Mus musculus: one gene and its partner. The protein of the gene in region 2 interacts with the protein of the main gene of each other region in a biochemical or structural test. Links are inferred from orthologs where the notes say so. Each region holds a gene or a part of one and is shown on either strand. Other genes may lie near its edges.

Region 1 (4,543 bases), on a different chromosome or scaffold from region 2:
TGATTTGAGTCAATGTTTTAAATCTCCTATGCCAGTGATTTCCATATCAGCCATTTGAGTGGCTGGGGTTACTGTAAGACCACAGCAGTCCCTGCTGTCACTGCTGACTCAGAGTGGCAGGTGGCGGCTGTTCATATGGAAGCAGAACTGGTCCAGGGAAGCTGCTGTCTTGGACTCTGGCCCCTGGCCTCCTCACCATGTTCTTTAGCCTTGGGATTCCTGGGTTCTGGATATTCAAGGCCAGGACGGCCTCTCGAGCCCCCACATAGAGAGTGTTGCCATCGTCACTCAGGAGCAGCGTGTCAAAGTCTCGGAGGCCTTTTTGTTGGAAGAAGCTGAGGGCCCTGTGCCCGTCTCCTGTTGGGAGGCAATGACAAGGAGAGGATGAGAAGGAGCTGACCACTGAGGCAAAGGTGGGGGAGGGGTGGCAGGCCTCAGCAGCTGCCCCCCTTCACTGGCGGCACCCCCCTCCATTTCCTTCATCCTTCAACAGCAGGGCATCGGAACTTTGTGGATTGAGTCCCCAGAAGTGAAAAGTTCCAAAGACAGGGTAATGGTAGCTTGGGTACTGTTGGTGGTGTTGGGGGGAGAGCCTGCTCAAGACACAGACAGAAAATGAAGTGAGGCTAGAAGATGCAGTCTCAGGCCTGGGGGGATGCAGTGAAGCAGGATGGGAGGGGGAGAGCTGACAGGTAGACACAGGAAGGGGTTCTCAGCCACAGGCAACGGAGATAGCTGTCGTCCGCCTCAAGATTTGTCGTAGTTACAGATCCCTGCCACCCCCGTTTCCTCTGTCTCCTCCCCTCACTCTGCGATAGCAATTGCCCACCACCAGCAATGCCCACTGCAGCAGAAAAGGCTGCTTCCTCTCGGTTTCTGAGCCCCATCAGTGTGGGCATTCCTGGGAGCCACCTGGACAGTCTGAATATGTTGGTTAGTAGTGCATGTTCACTACATATCTTGGTGGTGGCATGTGTGCACATACACACACGTGAATGTGTGGGTTCCTGACACACTGGCACATCAGCAAGGAGGAAAGAGCACCTCAGATAAGTCTCTAGTGAGCACATGTGGACTTTTGCTTTAGTCAGAGGACAATCTGGCTGTTACTCTTTTGGCCTCAGGAAGCCTGGAAACCAAGAGGAATCCAAAGACAAAATGGAAACAATACTGCCTAGATTGGCTTCTCCTGAACTCTGAAGAGAGCTCATTGTACTTCCCCTTGAAACGCAGGCTTGTTTGTGCCTGCACTCCCATCCCACCCAGAGATGCCGCTCTATCCACCGACTGCTACATCTCCTTTACCATTTTGCCTCAGAAGGATGCTAAACTACATCCGTGAACAGAAGTAACTTACTTCTGTGTGTGTGTGTGTGTGTGTGTGTGTGTGTGGGTGGGTGGGTGTGTGGTATATGTGGCACTTCCCCTGGGGCATTTCCTGGAACTAAAGGTGTCAGTAACCGAACAGCCTCCTCAAGAAACCACCGAGGCTGGGTGAGCTGCTAGGATCCCTTCTGATGCCCAGTCTCCTGGACAGGATCTGGCCCGGTGTGACCTCTGCAGTTGGCTTGGGCCCTCCAGCTCCTCAGACAATCTAGAGCGAGCTTTAGCTTTCCAGCTCCTGGTACTGAAAAAGCAGTCAGGAGTTTAAGGCTCCTTGCTTAGTGACTGACATTTGAGGGAAAGAAAAACCACTGAGTTGGCAGAAAAGGGTCACAGTGACCCTTCCTTCCCTTACAGATCAACTTGTGCCTCAGGTGGCCTCTTCTTCTCCCAGCCCCTCCCAGGCTCCCTGGCATCTCTGTTTCTTCGTGCCATTTCGTCCCCTCTGGCACACCCTTCTCCTTCCTCAGCCCCTTCATCTCTATGGTGCCATCCATACCTCCCAGGTACTAGACACTTACCAGCATGGTATTTGACTCTGGGCATGGGCCCCTGACCACCAGTCCCAGAAGCAGGTGGCAGTGATGGCAGCAGGAAGAGTTGGAAGAAAAAAACACGCAGGAGACTCCATGAGTCCTGGCCCAGGGATGGTAGGGCCATGGTCAGCCTGAGATGGTCACCAGATGGTTCTGAGGAAACAGGCACTTTCTGGGTTAGCCATGCTTACCACACCCTTCCTGAGGGCCAATAGGAGAGCCCCAGGGGGCAGAAGTTCCTCTCTGGAAGGGCCCTCAGAGTCTCACTTCCATCCATCCCCAGCCTTGAAGGTGCCTCCTGCTGCCCTCTGCATAGGGTGCTGCTGTGGCCCACGCTGTGCCTCTGGTCACCTAACCATTAAAAAAACTACCTTGCCATTTCTCACCTGACTCACAGAAAAATTCCTTTCCACTTTGCCCCCTCAGCATCTCCTGGCCCCGTGCTCCAGAGCTCTGATCATCTCTGGCCCTGGGCAAAGGTCTTCTAGGGAACTAGTTCCTGTATGCAAAAGGTAGATTTCCCCAGGCTGGCCTGTGCTGTGACACCTTATGCCCGCTACTCACCCCAACCCAGGCAGACAGCCTACCCTCTCCTCAGCCCCCAGGGGCTCTGACTCTTGCTTAATCGGGCCCATCTAGCCTTCTTCTTAGGGATAGGGGCGTGCCAGTTTATCTACCACTGTGGTGGGGCTGCCCTCTGTATTTCCTGGGAGTGGCCTGGGCAGGAGTCCTTGGCAGACTCTCAACTTCTCCAGCCCCCCTGTCTGCCTCCCCAGAGCTCCGCAATCAGCCTCCCCCATGGCCACTGAATGCAGGTTCACACCCCTCCCCCGCCCCCGCCTCATCTCACATACCCTTGAGCCAGCCACACTGAGAAGTCCTGTGTTCAAACCCTGAATCAGGGTGCCATCCGAGGCAAAGAAGGGGGTCCAGGCAAGGCAAGCAGGCTCAGCCTGGCTGGAACGGGCGCGCGGCCCTCCAGGCACCCATCCTGCCAGAGCCAGTGTGGGTTTCAGGCCAGGGAAACCAGAATTTCTACCTCGAGTTGTGACAGATCCTGGCTGGCTTGGGCGGAAGTTGGTGGATCAGGGCGGGGAGACTGGTGGAGTGTGGGAGTGGGGGTGAGGCTTGAAGGCCTTGCAGGAGACACACCTCCCTCCCTCCTTAGTCTATCCAGAAATTAAGAGTTCCTTCCCGGCCAGTTCAGTGATGCCCTTGTTTCTCCCGCACACCACTTCCAGTCTAACCAGCCCAAGCTGCAGACTCCTCTTGCTCAAGAGAGCTCGGTATGACACCGTCTCTCTCCTATTCCTTCTCTCTCTGACCCCATTGTGGGGTTCCCCCACTGCCACATACTGAGACCTCCCGACCTCCCACACCCAGTAGGACCACATTCTTGAAAGATAACACGTTTAAAGCTGGCATGGTGGCGAGGCATACCTTTAATCCCAGTACTCGGGAGGCAGAGGCAGGCAGATCTCTGAGTTCGAGGCCAGCCTGATCTACAGAGTGTGCTCCAGGTCATCCAGGGCTATACAGAGAAACCCCGTATCAAAAAAATAAAAAATAAATAAAAATCCTACATTTGTATTAGTTTTTTGGTTTTTCCCTATGACTTTGCTGAGGAAGCCCTAGTAATTTGACGTCTCAGTGGGAAATTGGAGAAATTCCCCATTTGAACGCGTGCTTCTTGGGATACGCTTTGGAGCTGAAGCACCCAGCTGGCATGGTGGCTGGTTCCTCCTCCCCAAAGGTTCCAGGAAGACCTCATAACGCAGGGTTAATGAGTAACCAAGGGCTCCTAGGCCAATAAAGAGTGGTTGGGCTGCTGCCCACTCTCCCGGGTCAGCTGACTTCAGGTTAAAGAGCACAGTGACCCAAGCTGGTCTACCTCCAGGACATACCCTATCTTCACTGTAAACACCATCCTCACTGCCAGGATGGTCCCCACTGTAGGCTGTCCTCCACCCTTCCAGTTACAGCTCCTAGACGGAAAGCATTCCTCGGTAGAGCCTGCTTGGCCTTCCCTTCATGCTTTCCCCTCTGCTTCCGTTCTCCAGTGTGGCCCAGGAGCTGGGCTCACACAGACCCTCCTGATGGCTTCATCTGTCAAAGCTTGCTAAGACCCGCCCCCCCCCAAGCTCTCCGTTCACTGTGAGGACTTTGCCAATCTCCCTGTGCTGACACAAACTTCTGAGTCTCCTTGACCTCTAGATCAGGCTTGGGAAGCCACCACCTCAGGGCCTCTCTTTGGAGACAGATTGGCCTATCTGGGTCACAGGGAGGAGCTGTGACCAGAGGAGCAGCTCCAATGCCATCCTTCTTTACTCTCTTCCTGTCCCTGGGCGTCCTCAGGAGACCAAGTGCTCTCCCAGGCCCTCGGACAATGTGAGAAGCTCACACTTGGGGCTTCAGGCTTCCCAACTTCAGCAGGCAGGCTCCACTACAGTCTTGCTGCACAGAGAACAGAAGTGCAGCAGGGGTGACTGGACAGCCTGACGTCCATCCATCTACCTCAGACCTGTCTAATTCGGAAGCTCTCCCTACATGGCTGGCTCCTTCAGTCCCATCTCCTGCCCTAGTGCATTAGCTCAGCTCAGAGCTGCTCAACAGAGGGAGTAGGC
Region 2 (4,409 bases):
AGAGAAGGAATCTGTGCTTGCTCAAAGCCCCAGTGTTGGGCACGCCCACGGTATAGTCTTGCTACCCCTGAGGACCACAGAGAGAGAGGGACAAGGCAGGGAGCCTCAGTGAGCCCAGAAGGCTGGGCTTAGCCCTTTGTAAACTCAGTGTCATTTTGGGGTTGAAAGAAAATGAGTTCTGTTGTGAAATTCTTAGAGGGGACTGGCTGTACCCAAGGCCAATTCACTTGGGGATCCCCTAGCCTGGCTCTCTTGCTACTGCCCACCCTGAGGCCCCGCCTCACCCTCAGCCCTATAGTTCTCCACCAAAGATTCACTCCTTTTCCATCTTCCATTTGTCCGGCCAGACTGCCTGGATGCCCCCATTCCACATCTGTAAGGCCGCAAAGCCCCAGCACCATGAACACATGAGGGGGCCAAACAACTTGTGTTCAAGCAAGCCCCACCTCTGCTCCTTTTCAGCTGTTTGTGCATCCCTTAAAACTTACACCCATTTCTTCATCTGTATGTACAAAGGGATGAGAACACACTTGCTGAAGACATTTGACACACCACACACTAGGTCTGTGGTTCTCAACCTTTCTAAGGCTGGGTAAGACCACCACCCCCCAACCATAAAATGAATTCATTGTTACTACTTCATAATTGTAATTTTGCTACCATTATGAATCACAAAGTAAATATCTGATATGCAGGATAATGCAGCCCCTGTGAGAGGGTTGTCTGGCTCCAAAGGGGTCACACACAACCCACATGTTGAGAATGGCTGGCTTAAGTTAAAAACCCACAGCATTTGTGATCACAGGTCTGCCACACCACCTGCTAGCTGCTCATTTGCTATTTGTTGAGGTGGCCTTGAGCACACACCTGTTTGCCAACCAGGTGGCCTCACTAGGGAACCAATCACTTCCCAAATAACAGTGTCCCCTGGCACGGGCTCCCACTGGGAGTTTACATCCCTGCAGGTCTACACTCTTGGGATCTCCGATGGGTGTCCCTGTCACATACTCAGCCCTTCCGACCCACATGCCCTTTATCTTCAGTGCCAGGTGCCACACCCATCACACATCTGCCAGGGTGCAGAGGTATGTCCTAAGGGCACCTGCACTCTCCCTAAACACTCTCCTGGTGTCACTCCCCTCTCTCAGTTCAGCACACACCTGTGGCCCCCACCTGCAGAGCTGATTTGTAGGTGCGCTGTCTTCGGGGAACACCTGGGTACCTTGACAACCTAGACCTCCCCACTTAGGTGTGCGCACCTGTGACCCAGTACGCTCCCGGGCCAGCACCGCTGGCAGTAACCAATCCTCTGGGATATCTGCGTGCATACTGTATCCCCGCACACGCCCCTCAGGTCTATGGCTTACCTGTATGTTGCGCTTGCTCTCGCAGGCCGGCCCGGTGCCCTGCACCACACTGTCCAACACCGCCACCACGTCGGGCGCCGGCTCCACGAAGCAGGCGGTGCGCGCTGCACGAATGGCAGCCTGCACGTCGTCGAAGCGGAAGGCGCAAAGCGCGGCCGGGGCGTTGCGGGCACCTGGGGCGCCCTGGGGCCTCTCGAAGACAGCGAAGAACTGCTCGCGCGCGGGGAAAACCGACACGAGGCGGCTGTAGAGGTCGCCGCGGCCCGCGCCGCCCGCGCACTGCAAGCCCAGTTGGATGTAGGACTCGGTGAGCTTCTTGGCGTCGCCACCCGCGCCGCGGGGCAGGCAGATGCGCGCCAGCAGGCTGCGCGCCTGGCTGTCCTTGTCGCCCGCACGCGCCTCGCTGTTGAGCGCCAGGTACGCGTAGGGCTGCGCGCTGTGCGGTGGCACCGCCGGGTGCAAGAAGGCACGCACGAAGCCCAGCTTGTGCTGCTCCTTGGCGCCCTGCTTGATCTTCAGGATGTTATCGTCCGACGGGTTAAGGTCGAAGGTGAAGAGCTTGGCCAAGTCTCCACGCGCGTCCAGGGAGCGGATAGCGATCTCGGGCGTGTTCTCGAAGCGGTGGTCTTCTAGGCTACGGTTGCGCGGGAAGAAAGCGCTGCCGAAGCCGGTGTACGTGGCGCCCACGAGCAGACGGCTGCCCCCGGTGCCCGAGGTAGGCGGCAGCACCAGTCCCACAGTGGACGCGTTGGGGTGGTTGGCGGCCACGTTGAGCATGCTGGGGAACACGGTGACCGGTTCTGCGGTCGGCGCGGCAGGCGGAAAGCTCACGGCCAGGGCTGAGATGTTGCCCCGGCGCCTCAGCTGGCACAGACCCTGGTAGATGGAGCCGCACGCGACCACCAGACCCTGGCCCGGGTCCAACTGCAGGATTTTGTTGTAGTTGTCCGTGAGGCGCCGCGGGTGCTCGCACGAGGCCTGCGGGAGCTGCGGGGCGTGACACAGCGGGCTGTCCGGCACGGGACCCACGGTCGCCTCGGCTTCCAGGCTCAAGTTGGCACTCGACAGTTGGTACAGGCGGTTCACTGCCGCCAAGTACACGGTGCCCGCCGTGCCGTCCAGGGCGAAGTTGTTGGTGGGCGTGGGCGAGGGGAAACGGCGCTGGATCTCTAGGGCGCCGGCCCGTGCCGCCCCGAGCAGCAGCAGCAGAGGCAGCGGCAGCAGACCAGGGCCCCGCGAGTGAGGGCGCGGACGCAAGGGGACGGCCGCGGCGGCCCGGGCGCTAGGGGGTGCGCCGCCCGCGGCGCGACGAGCCATCCAGGCGAGCGCGGGCTGCGCGGCGCGGCGAGTGCATGGGGCGCGGCGCGGCCGGGAGCCGGGAGCTCGGAGGCGGCGAGAGGCGGGGGGGGGGCCCGGGCCGCGAGGCGCTTCCTGCCCGCGCCTGCCGCCCCCGGCCCCGGCGCCCCGGCCCGACTCTGGCGAGGCGCTCAGCCCGGGGGCGGCTCCGTGGAGACCACGCCCACAGCCCATCTCCCCGCCCCAGCAGCTTGGCCCACGCCCTTTCGCCCCGGGCCACGCCCCCGGCCACGCCTCTGGGCCACGCCCCGCGGTCCGAGGTCACTGGTGGCCGATACCCGGGCAGTCGCAAGTTGCCTGCCTCTTTCCTGGTTCCTGGCCAGCTCCTGGAATGTCTTCCTCTCGCTTGTTTGTTATCCTTCCTCTCTTTCTCCTCGCTCTAGTACCTTCTCTGTTCTGTTTCTGGGCTCCCGTTTGCCTTCCACCGCCTCTCAGAGTTTCGCTCTTTCAATCTCTCGGACTCCCCTACTCCGATCCTGTCAACTCCGCCCCGTGTCTCTCCCGCGTCACTCCCTCTCCCTCATCTGCGTTTCCTTTTTTTTTTTTTTCTTTCTGTTCCCGCTGCTCTCCCTCTCTACTCTTTTCCTCTCCTTGCCCCTAAAGCCCTCCATTTCCCCTCAACCGCCTGCCCCTTCTGGCCACAGTCCCCCTCCCCGCCCCCCCCGCCCCCCCCCCCCCCCGCTCACACCCCCTATGTTCTCCAAGCCTCACTCTAAAGACCAGCCAGACCAGGGACATCAGGCCCCTGGCTAACCTATGGTCTGTTCCCCGAACTGCTCTGTAAAAGGAGTTTGCAAGCAGCAGGCTCCGGGGACAAACTTGACAATCCCACAGCAAAAGTAGGAAACTGTGTTGAGAGGAAGTTCATTCCTCTTGCAAGGGCAGGCTGGGCTGAGCAGAACACCAGACACAGGGCCTTACTTTCTGGATAGAGCCAAACCCCGCAGACCCCCAGGACCTTGCCCTTAGGCCAAGGTTCTGAGAAACCTAAAGTCATTCCACATATGAGCTGGCACTGGGCACCGGACTCCTTTGACCTTCAAAGGAACAGGTAGGCCCTGGGATAAAGGCAAGGAGTCATTTTCCTAAGGTCATAGAAACCCAGGTGATCCTCTCCATAGCATGGGAGTGCCCACATAGGACCACACCAAATGCTAACCTCCTTACAAAGACTCAACCCACTTTCCGTGCATGGAAACTGAGGCCCCAGAAGTAAAGCCCAAAATACACCGCTAAGGGGGAAGGTGGGACACAGACCCATTGTTTGAAGCCACAGTTCCAGCTACAAGTTCTCAGTCAGGGTCTCCTAGCAGCTTGCAGCTGTCACTTGAGGCCTAGTGGCCCTCTCTCAGAGGGTGACCTTGCTCCCACCAGATAGGAAGGAAGGATGGGGAGGGGCTTTCCCTGTGCCTGAAGGGTCAGCAGCAAGGGCTCAGAGCCCAGCCATCCCCATTTCCCTGGCCCCCACCCCAACCTTCCTGTCCCTGTGCCTGCCTGCCGGCTTGCCTGCCATGTTCCAGCCCATTCATGGCCTTGGCTTTGATGGTCAGGAGTGTTCCTTGGCAGGAAATTGGAGACTTATGTCCTGCCTCCACCCCCAACTGAGCACCCAGGGGACTTGCCTCTACCTCTGTTTGGGGAAGGCCCGAGTCATGCTCTCCCTGTGAGCCACAGGCCCTCCACTCC

Evidence for each region.
Region 1: the proteins of Plxnd1 (region 2) and Sema4a form a complex in vitro, tested with the Homo sapiens proteins (2 studies listed by IntAct, with this or other methods). The link is inferred for Mus musculus from reciprocal best matches to the Homo sapiens genes PLXND1 and SEMA4A.

The regions. Positions count from the first base shown.
Region 1 is NC_000069.6:88,452,775-88,457,317, forward strand, and holds the start of Sema4a (semaphorin-4A precursor), read right to left. Parts: upstream 2,988-4,543; 5' UTR 2,774-2,987; intron 2,727-2,773; exon of another isoform or gene 2,484-2,726; intron 2,455-2,483; exon of another isoform or gene 2,349-2,454; coding exon of another isoform or gene 2,306-2,348; intron 2,073-2,305; coding exon of another isoform or gene 2,044-2,072; coding exon 1,905-2,043; intron 358-1,904; coding exon 197-357; intron 1-196. UniProt on the Homo sapiens protein: Cell surface receptor for PLXNB1, PLXNB2, PLXNB3 and PLXND1 that plays an important role in cell-cell signaling. Regulates glutamatergic and GABAergic synapse development.
Region 2 is NC_000072.6:115,992,122-115,996,530, forward strand, and holds the start of Plxnd1 (plexin-D1 precursor), read right to left. Parts: upstream 2,885-4,409; 5' UTR 2,685-2,884; coding exon 1,368-2,684; intron 1-1,367. UniProt on the Homo sapiens protein: Cell surface receptor for SEMA4A and for class 3 semaphorins, such as SEMA3A, SEMA3C and SEMA3E. Plays an important role in cell-cell signaling, and in regulating the migration of a wide spectrum of cell types.